3 linked regions of the Rattus norvegicus genome follow. The protein of the gene in region 2 interacts with the protein of the main gene of each other region in a pairwise test. Links are inferred from orthologs where the notes say so. Each region holds a gene or a part of one and is shown on either strand. Other genes may lie near its edges. The genes, in order: Fam118a, Wdr4 and Rabggtb.

What was found.
Region 1: the proteins of Wdr4 (region 2) and Fam118a interact in binary tests that used the Homo sapiens proteins (3 or more experiments, as listed by UniProt). The two-hybrid records come from large-scale screens. The link is inferred for Rattus norvegicus from reciprocal best matches to the Homo sapiens genes WDR4 and FAM118A.
Region 3: the proteins of Wdr4 (region 2) and Rabggtb interact in binary tests that used the Homo sapiens proteins (3 or more experiments, as listed by UniProt). The two-hybrid records come from large-scale screens. The link is inferred for Rattus norvegicus from reciprocal best matches to the Homo sapiens genes WDR4 and RABGGTB.

The regions. Positions count from the first base shown.
Region 1 is NC_086025.1:118,038,846-118,042,380, reverse strand, and holds part of Fam118a (protein FAM118A), read right to left. Parts: intron 826-3,535; coding exon of another isoform or gene 817-825; coding exon 770-816; intron 166-769; coding exon 1-165.
Region 2 is NC_086038.1:9,601,900-9,606,097, forward strand, and holds the start of Wdr4 (tRNA (guanine-N(7)-)-methyltransferase non-catalytic subunit WDR4), read right to left. Parts: upstream 2,820-4,198; 5' UTR 2,781-2,819; coding exon 2,692-2,780; intron 1,004-2,691; coding exon 935-1,003; intron 320-934; coding exon 176-319; intron 1-175. UniProt on the Homo sapiens protein: Non-catalytic component of the METTL1-WDR4 methyltransferase complex required for the formation of N(7)-methylguanine in a subset of RNA species, such as tRNAs, mRNAs and microRNAs (miRNAs).
Region 3 is NC_086020.1:245,507,962-245,512,144, forward strand, and holds the start of Rabggtb (geranylgeranyl transferase type-2 subunit beta), read right to left. Parts: upstream 2,819-4,183; 5' UTR 2,803-2,818; coding exon 2,800-2,802; exon of another isoform or gene 2,780-2,799; intron 2,071-2,779; exon of another isoform or gene 1,991-2,070; intron 1,890-1,990; coding exon 1,782-1,889; intron 1,556-1,781; exon of another isoform or gene 1,475-1,555; intron 837-1,474; coding exon 639-836; intron 560-638; exon of another isoform or gene 489-559; intron 280-488; coding exon 174-279; intron 62-173; exon of another isoform or gene 1-61. UniProt on the Homo sapiens protein: Catalyzes the transfer of a geranylgeranyl moiety from geranylgeranyl diphosphate to both cysteines of Rab proteins with the C-terminal sequence -XXCC, -XCXC and -CCXX, such as RAB1A, RAB3A, RAB5A and RAB7A.

The sequences.
Region 1 (3,535 bases), on a different chromosome or scaffold from region 2:
GGGTGCAGAACCTCCAGCTGCTCTGCAGCCTCGATGACGGCCTCGATGCAGCTCCTCCAAGAGCAGAGAGCCCGGATACCTGGGGCCACCGCTGCGCTCACGCCGGTCCCAATGACCAAGAGCAGGTCCTGGGGTTGCTTCCTAATGAGGCTCTTTAAAAACTTTCTATTTAAGAACAAGGAAGAAGGAAGCCAACTGTAAGCTTGGAAGTATGGAGATTCCAGTCTGGAAATATCTAGAACATTCAGGTCACAAATTTGCCTTTCTGTTCACTACCAGAAAGCAAAGTCCCTGCAGTCTACAGTGATAAATAATTTACAGGTGACTATGAACAAAAAGTTCAGCCCTCTCCTCCTCTGACACTGCAAATAGCTGGTAAATCAGCACTGTAAGGAACAGAGTGATCTTGTGTGGTTACAGGCAAGAGAATTTCTAAGTGGGCCTCCTAAAGCCCACTGCATTCTCCAGGTTCAGCAGTTCACTCTGCATCATTTTCCAGTAAGTGAGACCTGTTGTCCATGCACAGTCCTGTAGCCCTTCTCCACCCCACCCCAGCCCCCAGTTCCATGTTGCTTGGACTGGAGATGGGGGCTCGGGTAGCTTCTTGGAGCAGAAAGCTACTTTCTGGAATGTTTCTTGTGTTGGAGCAAACCATGGTGAGCAGCCATGGGTCCCCTTCCCAGTCTCCCTACTGCTGGGGGCAGTGCTACATGTCCCCAATGTGATGTGAAGTCAAGAACCCTCTACAAGGAACTAGCTACTTACTTACCTGCATTTCTGTTCACTTCTGTTCGTTGTCTTTTCCACTGACTCCATCTGTGAATCCTAAAGAGAAGAAAGATGTTTGATGAGTGCTCGGAAAACTGTAGAGGATGAAACTGAGTCAAAGGTCCTGACTCCCCTTTAAAATACCCAGAAAGTGCCATCCAGAAAAAGTCCTACACAAGTGGTTCCTCTGTGGCCACTAACCTTGCCTAGCTTCCCAGGTCAGGTCTTGAGTGTCTTCTGAAGATAGAAACAAAAACATTCACACAACAGCCAGATGGAGCAACTCTGGTGAACTGGCTCCAGGTAGTGTGCTTTTACCCTGGAAATGTCTCTTTAAGACAAAACCATCTAGAAGTCTCCCTGAATTCTAGAGCTAGTATTTATTATACAAGGAAATAGGCAGAGAACCTGGTGTGAAGGCCTACAACTACTATCACTGAGAATTATAGTGCCATTTCCCCCTTTTCCACCCAGCTTTTTAATATTTTTCATGTCATTTGAGAGCCAAGTACATGTCCTAGTTTTAGTTCCCCTGTGTTGTTAGAAACTACTCAAAACTAAAAGTCAATGTCACACAGGACTGAAAACCTGTGTTCACACTCAAATCTTTATTCCTCTTGAATTAGAATTAGGTCACCAAAAATAACTCTAGGAGAGACCACACAGCTCAACAGATCTCTAAATCATACCTTCAGTCTTGAGAAAATGGTATCCTGTAGTCACCCATGAAAACATTTGCACACATTCACCCTCCCGCCTTTGAGGGTACACTCACAGCTTCCACCAAAATCTCTGAGGGTCCATGACCTTTCCTCGGTGCTAAGAAACCAGTTCATGGATCAAAACCTGAAGCTGGTGGAGGATGCCACCTGCCCAAGGGACAGAAGGGCAGGGAGTGTGGCCTCCTACATCACTACAGTTACCATATAAAATCAAGTCTATTTTGGCTTTGTAATCTATTGGAAATTTTCTAAGGCAAGTTATGACTATTCTATTTCATATAACCCCTCCACTGCAAATAGAAGCCCCATGGATCCCACCCCAAGTGTCCAATGAGCCCACATATTTATCTATTCTGCTACGAACTGTAAAGCATGGATTCCTGCTAACTGGCCAAACTTCCAAGCTCAGTCCTCTTTGGAGAGCAAGTACTCTGCAAACCAAACTGCTGGGCCAGGCAGTGGGGCTGTGTCCCAAAGCTGAAACCAAGTGTCAGGACCCCGAAAGACAGAACACTGAGCTATCCTGCTGCATTTCCTGTTTGAACTTAACTTGAGCACACTCCGTATCTTCAGAGTGGTTATGCCTTCCTGTCTGGGGGAGAGCCCTTCATCTTAGCCTGCTCTAACCAGCACTTTATAGCTGACTTCAGCCACTGGCAGTCTGTGTGCCCTAGAAATGACACAGCCTCAACCTTTACCACATAAAAGATTTTTAAAGTTTCTAATTCCTTCCTCCTGTTCAACTGCTTTTCACTCACCATACACCTGTAGGTATCAGTTAAAATCCAAAATGTGTACTTCAACCTCTACAAAGTAACACAAAAGCAAGTGATTTCAGTTCTCCAAGAGACCCAGAGACACAGAACAGAAGGGAGCTCTGGCCTGCACAGGCATGCTGTGGCTGGTCCCTGTTCTGCCCTGCCTCAGCATGAGTTGAGGGATCTGGAGAGTCTCTGCAGCCAGCCCCAATATTACAAGGGTTCCCACCATAATGAAGAGGGGCCTCTGTCTGGGCTTTTAAGCTGCTGAGGACCTCAAGAGATCAAAGCAGCCAGCAGGGGACGCACAAGACTTCCTCTCAGGACCCATGTGGTGATGAACTGAATAGCTGCCCATATTTAGCCATTTATAGTTCTTTATAAACACTACATGCTTAAAGACATTACCTCATTTCCTGTTTTTCAGCAGCCAAAAGATCAGAGCCAGATCTCATATAATTATCCAGAGATTGTCCAAAATCTCCCCTTTGTTTATAAACCAAGGCCCAAGTGAGAGATTTTCCTAGCCTGACCTCTACTGGCAAGTTTTTGGAGGCCAGTCTATCTCTGATTTACCAGTCCCTTCTCAAAGGCCACTCTTTTAAGCCAATCAGATTCCAGACTACAGCAACAAAACCCTTCAGAGGCCTCTCAGATGCTGCAGCTTTCTGTTTCCTAGGTGACCATGTCGTCACTAGTTTCCAGACTCAAAACCAAGTCATCATAGCAACACATTTTTTCATAAAAATCTACCAGTATTTTCTAAATGTAAATTCACGCCAAAAGCAGATCTCAAAACAGTTACTATCCTTTTTATCTAAAACCTTCAGCAGAGTCTTAGCAGAGTATTTTGTGCCTAGAATAAGAAATCCTACCTATATTATGAATGAGCTCTGCAGTAACTAGACTGCCTTGTTTTTTTTTTTAATCCCTTGACATCCAACACTAAGTACATGTTCATCAGAAGGGCTGGAGAGATGGCTCAGTCAGTGGTTAAGAGCATGTACTGCTCTTACAGGAGTCCTGACTTTTGTTCCCAGCACCAATGTCAGCTGGCTTATCACCTCTAGCTCTAGGGGATCTGATGCCTCCACGGGCACCTGTACTCACATGCATACACTCCCACAGTGTATACTTTAAAATATACAAATTTTAAAAACATTTCATCATCAGAGTTCAAAAGGTGACTGAGTACAGAAGAGGAACTGATCATCTTCATAAAGCTGTGAAGCAGAAGCCCCACTTTCAAGCCAACACAGTAGATCACTGACAATGCCCTAAACCTCC
Region 2 (4,198 bases):
CCACATGCTGTTAGGACTCAGTTAATACTCGTAAAGCTCTGCGATCAGTGTCTCACTCATGGCTGGTACGTCATGTTAGCTGCTGATTACAGTGGTTACTGTCACTATGGCTACTGACATGCAAGTACTAGGAGTGCATAGGACATCTTAATGACTCGGTGTTAGCATTTCATACCTGACACTCAGACATTGCCATGGTTTTGTACGGAAAAGAATCAGACGCTTACTGTCATCAGTTAAAGCAAAATAGCGGCCAGACTTGGAGAAGGTGGACGCCAGAATCGTGTCACTCCCCCTGTCTGCGGGCTGTCCGTCCTCCCTGAAAGGGCAGGGGAAGAAAGGGAAAACAATTAGGCCTCGTGTGAGTTGCCGGGCTTGTCCATTCTAACACAGGTAAGTAGAAGGCGCGTGGTCAGGCACTTCGTGCAGCCAGAGCATGATGAGAGATTAAGGGGACCCAAGCATGAAACCTAACACAAATGCTAATTAATATCCAGTGTGGGCTGGAAGGACTCTCAGCGATCACGTGGCCTAGCCCTCATAGACATGGACTAATCCAAGGCTAGAAGCAGGGGTTGATAAAATTCATGACACACTGAGTCACAAGTCCAGGCCACCACACAAAACAGTCACACGCTGCTTCTTACCTTTCAATTAGTTAACTCCCCACACCTGCCCTCAGTGCATTTCGTTTGAAACGGTCACTCTTACTTTAAGGAGCCAGTAACAAAAATGAGTACTAAAGAAATTAAAACAAAAGAACCTAAAAGTTCCCCGGGAAGGTCCCACATAGTCTGAATGCCCACAGTCCAAGTTGCTTCCATGTTTCTTTCTGAACTGGAATGCACAACAAGGGAACAGGAGCCAGGACTTCAGCAGGCTCACCGGTCTCAGCGCTCAAACCACAAGCGACCATGCTTCCCCACCATCTCACCCTTTATCTTCCTGCACGGACTTCTTCTCGGCAGTGCTGCAGTCATACGAGAAGAGGCAGTCATCGTCGCTAAAGGGAAGAGATAGGCATGAGCAGTTATTAACAAACACACATGATTACTGCATCTTACCCTGGGAACAAAAACACATCACTGTCATTACATCATGGGTCTTATCCATGACAGAGAAGAGCCAAGGACTGCCACTGCTTAACCTGTCAGCATACATCATGAACAGTCGGCACGGTCCTGTTCTAAATCAGTTCAGTGTGGCATGGCGGTGCAAGCCTGGAATCAATGCAGTCTTCTTCCAGCCACCAACCTGTTAATTCTAAATTATGTTCTGATATGGTTTTTTGTTATGGTGGTGGTTTATCTGTGTAGCCCTGGCTGTCTTGGAACTCACTCTGTAGACCAGGCTGGCCTCAAACTTGGGATATCCACCTGCCTCTGCCTGAGTGCTGGGATCAAAGGTGTCCACTAGCGAACCCCAGTTCCCCCACTCCCCTCCCCCCCGGCCACCCACCCATTCTGATATTTTCTTTTTAAAAAATTATTTATTATATATGTAATGTTCTTCCTGCATGCATGCCTGCATACCAGAAGAGGGCACCAGATCTCGTTATCCATGGTTATAAGCCACCATATGGTTGCTAGGAGTTGAACTCAGGACCTCTGGAAGAACAGCCAGCTCTCTTAACCTATGAGCCATCTCTCCAGCCCTCTGATAATTGTTTTCAACTCAGCTTTGCTCTCAAATTTAAAACCGCTGAGGTTGTCCTTACATAATTCAGAAACAAGTCTCACCTGCCCCCATGAGCCTCTGGCCCTTACTCAGATGAGAATCACATTCCAAATCAGAACTTAAGCTCCCTTCTTTTGCTCTGACCTGTAACCTAGCACATTAAAGCATCTGGTACTATTGACAACCCATAAAGCGGCTTTATCAAAGACTTTTCCAGTTAAACACTTAACCGCAGAAAGAGAAATCATCTTCCAAGTCCGAAACTTTGTTGGGCATTCCCCAAAAGGCACAAACTGAGGAACAATTCCTAATCTTCAAACATCTAAGTACCGAAGCTAAACGGGATAGGGGGGAAAAAAGCCGACACGGACTGCCACTGATTCTCTAGGTTGGTGGTAATCAACTACTTGCTCAAAGAATACTATCACCGAACACGACGTATACATAAGGACAGAAATAACAAAGCAAAACGTTATGTCATGTGAAGGGCCTTTAGGGAGATGCCCACTTCAGGCTCCGCAAGCATCCTGGGTTTGGAAGGTGTCGGGTTAAAAACCTCGAAGGGGGTTGGGGATTTAGCTCAGTGGTAGAGCGCTTGCCTAGGAAGCGCAAGGCCCTGAGTTCGGTCCCCATCTCCGAAAAAAAAAAACTCGAAGGGCAACAAAAGCCGGGTTGCTGGACGCAGATGAGGGAGAAGGAGCACGTTTTGCGCTCAGTAAGAACCTGCAGGGTTCCCTAATACATGATTCTCAACAGGAAGATTCCAAACGGGTCAGGATTGAAGCCAGGACCCCCCAGAAGCCTGGGCAATGAGACACCCACGTGACTTAGCCCTCCCGACGCCGCGCAGGCGCCACAAAGTCCGGAAGTGCCCCTACTCTAAACCGAGAGCGCGCCCCGGACCTGCCGTGCAGATTATGGGGCTATAGGTCCGGGTGAAGGGGCGCCGAGGAATCCGGGAAGACACGGAACATGGCCGCTCCGGCCTCGCCGCCCTCAGCACGAGCCTCTTACCTGCTCGCGGTGGAGAAGGCTAGGAACCGGCTGCCTCCTCGCACCACCAGCGTCTGGGCGCACAGTGCCAGGCCCGCAGAGCTCGCCATGGGCCCGTCCGCCGCCTCCGCACACGTGCGACGCTCAGCGCCCTTCCTGGTGGCGCCGGCCAGTGACGTCACCCGGCACCGCGCGAATGGCGTGCGGGGCAGGAGCATGCGCACAGGGAGAGGTCGCATTTGAATACCTCGGAGGTGCTGATGCTATAGATTCCCCGCGTGCCTTTCGCGTTGATTGACTTTTCCGCCCGTCAGGTTAGGTGGTTCCTCTTGGACAGAGCCTGGTACTCAGTTTGTGCCGTTTTAAAAAAAAAAAAAAACCTGCGTGACATTAGTACTGGATGGCCAGGCCCAATATGTGACCATGTGTGATTACAAATCGCTGGAAATGTGCTACTTACGGTCCTTATGAAAGACAAAGACGTCTTGGACCCCAACTGTCACACGTGTGTATCGAACGGTGTGCCTCCCCAGATCACCAAAAGACTCGTTCCATCCATCCCAGTGACTCACGACGTCCAGAATGCTGTGGTCTCTTTTGGTTGGGTGTAGACCCCCCCAAGACAGCTCATAAAGAGACGGTTCATCTGCTCCACCCACCCAACACACCCGAAACCTATTTCAAAGTCACACTTATTATACTGTGTACAATTGCTATCTCTAGGCTGGGAGGTTCTCCGGGCGAATCCATCTTTTTTTTTTTTTTTTTTTTTTTCTTTTCTTTTTTTCGGAGCTGGGGACCGAACCCAGGGCCTTGCGCTTGCTAGGCAAGCGCTCTACCACTGAGCTAAATCCCCAACCCCGGTGAATCCATCTTATAAAGCAGCCGTTGTTGGCTCCATTTTTACCTCAAACTGAGTCAGAACAGCTCTTCGTTTTTACTTGAGCAAGTTACACAACATCTGTCTAACAGCATGGATTGATGAGAACTACTTCTGGAAGCTGGGAGGTGGCGGCACAAGTCTTTAATCCCAGCACTTGGGAGGCAGAAGCAGGCAGATCTCTTGAGGCCAGCCTGGTCTACACATTGAGTTCCAGAATGGCCCGGGCTAGACAGAGAAACCCTGTCTTTACATAAATAAATAATAAATAAATGAACAAGGGGTTGGGGATTTAGCTCAGTGGTAGAGCGCTTGCCTAGCAAGCGCAAGGCCCTGGGTTCAGTCCCCAGCTCTGAAAAAAAAAAGAAAAAAGAAAAAAAAAAATAAACAAACAACTAAAAAATCACTTGTGCAAATGAGACCACCGCCTACAAATGTAATTAAGATAAATAATGGGTGAAGTTAAATTGTATCAGAGAAGCCAGGTCTTGAGTTTATCAAACATCATAGCAAGGAGAAATGGAAGCCCTTTGCCAGGCTACAGAGAGCAATGATCTAATGCTAAGGCACCACCACCACCACCACCACCACCACCACCACCCCCACCCCCTCCCCGGTCACCATGCCCTCACACAGGCATGAACGTCC
Region 3 (4,183 bases), on a different chromosome or scaffold from region 2:
CAAGCCAGCACGGGGCATGCTGGGACTTCCAGCAGGCCATTTTACTCCAGTTAGACCAACTGCTTAGTGGGACCTGAAAAGATGAACAACTTGAAATCTTATGATTACTACACCAAGACAAAAGATGCTCCGAGTGGAGTAGCTTGACTAAAAAAAGTGAAAGCCGATCTTACCCCAGATGTCTCCAGCAAAGGAACCATCTTCTTTCTGTAGACTCTGAACATAGGCTACCACTTTGTCTACGTTGATTACATGGATGCTATCATACAGAGTGAGAATCTGAAAGACAAGCATCGCAGGAATTTGTCCTGGGCCAACCACCATGCCCTTCCCCATTACTATAAATGGCTCACACGCGCCGGCTGTTACTCATTTCATTACAATTTCTTATTCCTTTGATAATTTGACAGAGGTAGGCTTTACCCGCCCTCTCGCTCCTCACTAAAACCAACTCTAACCTGGACTGACACAGATGCATTTTACCCTCCCAGGTCTCAGTGCCATTTGTAACTTGCATCAAGTTAGCATTCAGCTAATACATGCCATGACATCACTGACCTGTAGGAGAGAATTCACTCTAAAGGCGGGCAATTAACATTTGGGTCGTCACATAGGGTCAATGTTTCACAAGGGCTTACCTGGACAGCACTGAGCGTGTAGAGAAGGTGGGGGTCGTGCCCGATGCTGGCACTGACTCCCCCACACTCATGCTGGCACGACTTGATAAACACCAGTATCTCCTCTTTATTCATCCGATGAAGCTGCCCCATGAGGTCCATCACTGTCAGGCCCCAGTAGACGCCGCTCATTCTCAAGTATTCGGACATGCAGTATTCCTGGGAGAAGTGTCTTAAATTTGTCACTCTTGACTACAAAACCCACCTTTACCTAGGTCAGCTGTGAACAACTTTAAGAGCATCGGTTCTCACCCCTTTGGGTCCGACATTACAGCAAAATTAAGTCTTGAACTAATGAAACTATCTTATGGTTGGGGCTCACCACAACATGCAGAACTGTATGGTACGACAGGGTTGCAGCATCAGGAAGATTGAGAACAAACTTTAATAGTTTCCAAGTGCCAACTTCAGGTGAATTTAGTAGGCAACATTCACTCCTTCAGTCTACCAAACACCAATTACTGCATTTTACAAGGTCTATGAATACGGAGAGATAAATGGTGCTGGAGATGGAAACCAAATCAAGCATCATTTCACAAGCGTTCACTCAGGTACAGGTGTCATTGGTGTGCTGCCAAGCCAAACCAAACGCCTAAAGGGCCAGGCGGACAGTTGACATAAGGACCATTTAGGCCTATGATTCCCCCCCTCCCAAAATAAGGGTCTGATTACCCATGTGATTCCTCTTTGGAGAGGGTCTCCCCACAAAGCCCGGGGTTTCCAGCTCTACCCCTTGCTGGAGATTATCACAGGGGTGTGGTAACCTCCCTATTATACTGTTTAGGTAAAACCTTTTCAAGGTCTCAGCGTAATTCTAGAGCTCAAATGTTAGGACACATCAGCAAATTCAGATAATACATGCCAACACATCATTGACCTTCAAGGTTATACCCCAGACAGAAAGGAGTAAACCCCTTCTACCTGCATCCCTGTATTCTGGCCCTTTGTGTACCGGTATGCAAGGCTAATGCTATCCAGTATCAACCTCTAGTATACCAGGCCCATCTATCCTAATGGACTTTAAATCAGGCCTCTGCCAACAGACAACGCTTTAAGAAACAGGCCTGTCCATTAGTATTAAACTAACAAGAAACTCATACACACATAATCATCTTTCTTTGAGCCGTACGAGGCGATATAATCAGCATGCTTCTCGAGCAGCAGGGTGTCAGGCGCATCTGACTTGATGGTGACGTCCTTCTGCTGTGTGCCCTTCGAAGAAAAACAGAGACTGGATCATTACGTTTTCCTTTCGACATCCTGAAAACTTGACAGCCCAGACTCGTATGACCAGATGACGGCACTTTTTTTTTCGGGTCTCAGAGTAATTCTAGAGCTAAAGTGGTTATTAATCAACTTTAGATTCAGAATACATGCCAGCTCATCATTGACCCGAATTCTGCCGCTCACCTTTTTGCCGACCAAGTGCAATACACACTCTCGATCGGTGAATTTGAAGCTTCAGTGCACTGTTCAACAGTCCTCAAATATTATCTCCTTTACTAAACGATCAGGCCCATTAGCTCCAAATTTCACCTTCGGATCTAAGATATTCGCCATCACCCATTAAGTAGGTCAAAGCAAATCCACTGCCAAATAAGTTATTTTTCTATTTTGTTCAGAGTCTCGGCTATGAAGCCCTGTGTGGTCTGGAACTCCCCGTGTAGACCAGGCTGCCTGCTACTGCTTCAGGAGTGATACGATTAAAAGGCGTGGGCCAAGGCCGGCCTTCTTCCATCCCAATTAGAATATTTAACTTTGAAACAATATTCGTAAATGATCATTGAACCCTGAAAAAAACAGGCACACACAAGTCTCCGATGCAAAGGGAAAAAAAAAAAAGGCGGCTCAATCCAGAGAGGCTCGCCTACGGGCCGCGGATAACATCACAACCCTCGAGAACTGCAGAAAACGCTGAGCCATTGCTCAAGGAGCGGTCTAAGACCGGCCTCAGAAGGCCGAGGCAGGAGCATTGCTGAGAGCTCACAAGAAGAATGCAAGAAGAATGCTAGCCTTGCATGCCCGCCCGCTCCCCGTGCTGCGCCAGCCCACGATGCGGAGCAGCTTGACCCACCGCCCAGGCCTCCCCAACTTCCGCGCACCAAAGCGATGTCGCTCTCACCATGTCCGACCGCCGAAAGACTGAAGAGCGCGGGAGCACGGAAAGTCAGGGTCTGCGCGCCTGCGCACAGGCGCCCGCCCGGCAGCCCACGCCCTACCTAGCCGGCCACGCTCCGCCCGAAGGACCCCGCGGTCACGATTTAGCCGGCCGCACTCCTGCCTGAAGGACTCCGCGGTCACGGTGCAGCAGGCTATGCGTCTGCCTGAAGGACCCCATGTCACTCAGTTTGTAAAGAGCTTTCCTAGCACTCAAAGAGGCCGGGGGTTGATTTCAACCTTTGCGTATAAACCCGAAGTGTTAGTGCAGACCTATTATCTTAGCAGTGGAAAAGTGGTGGCAGGAGGATCAGTGGTCCAAATCATCGGCCGTGTAGGCACTTGGAAGCCATCCTGAGCTAGAGGTCCCTACCTACTCCCCATAAAATTGATCAATTTTAGTGTGTCTGTTACCCAGCTAATGAAAAATATATTGCCACATATATTACTATGGAAAAATACCATGTGAAAATGGATGCTTGGGTTTGATTCCAGAAACCGCTAGAATAAGGCTAGTTTTTCCACTCTGTATTGGTAAATTTGTATGGTTTAACTCTAACTTTTAATATTTATTTTAAAAGCCCCAAGCCTTGAACTCACAACTGAAAATGCTAGGCATGCTATCTCCCCAGTCCACTTTGCCTCTTCAAAGACTAAAATATGCCTCCCGACCCCAAAGAACTGTTGCTGCAATAAAACAGGTCTATAAATTCTTCTATCTCTCCAAAGCCAAGATGTCAGATACAGCCACGTCAGGGATTTGAATGTGGCCAGTCTAAACTGAAAAATGCTGTAGTCATAAAATACAAATTGTGTGCCAAGCTTCTCATTTTGAAGTTTGTTTGTTGACTGCCTTCTGAATATCTATGCTTATGCCCGTAGAAAACGCTACTCTCAGCCCAAATCAGATAAGCCTTTCTATGCAGGGGACGACAGTGAATACAGAGATTCACGACTGCCCAAGGTTATCTGGAGAATACATTAGTTGAGGGATGACCTCTAAAAGCCTAGTGACTATCATAAAAGAGGGCAGCAGAAAGAATATAAGAGAAGATAATAGGAAAAGGCCCAGAAGCCATCTTCTGAGCATGACAACCACTGCAGCCTTGAACTCAGAGCCACTGTGTTTATCTGCACTGAGCTTCACACAAATGACCCTGACGGACAGTCACGGATGAGGAAGGGACTCAGGGGCCCTGCCCCTCTCTGCTGACCTAATGGGTACAGACACACACTGGGAAATGGGGAGTCATTATTCAGACGTGTGCCTGCTGGTAAGCTGACCAGGCATCGGTGGACTGCTCCAACCCCATGGTCATACAGGCAGCCCCAGTTAAACTCAGTGAGTC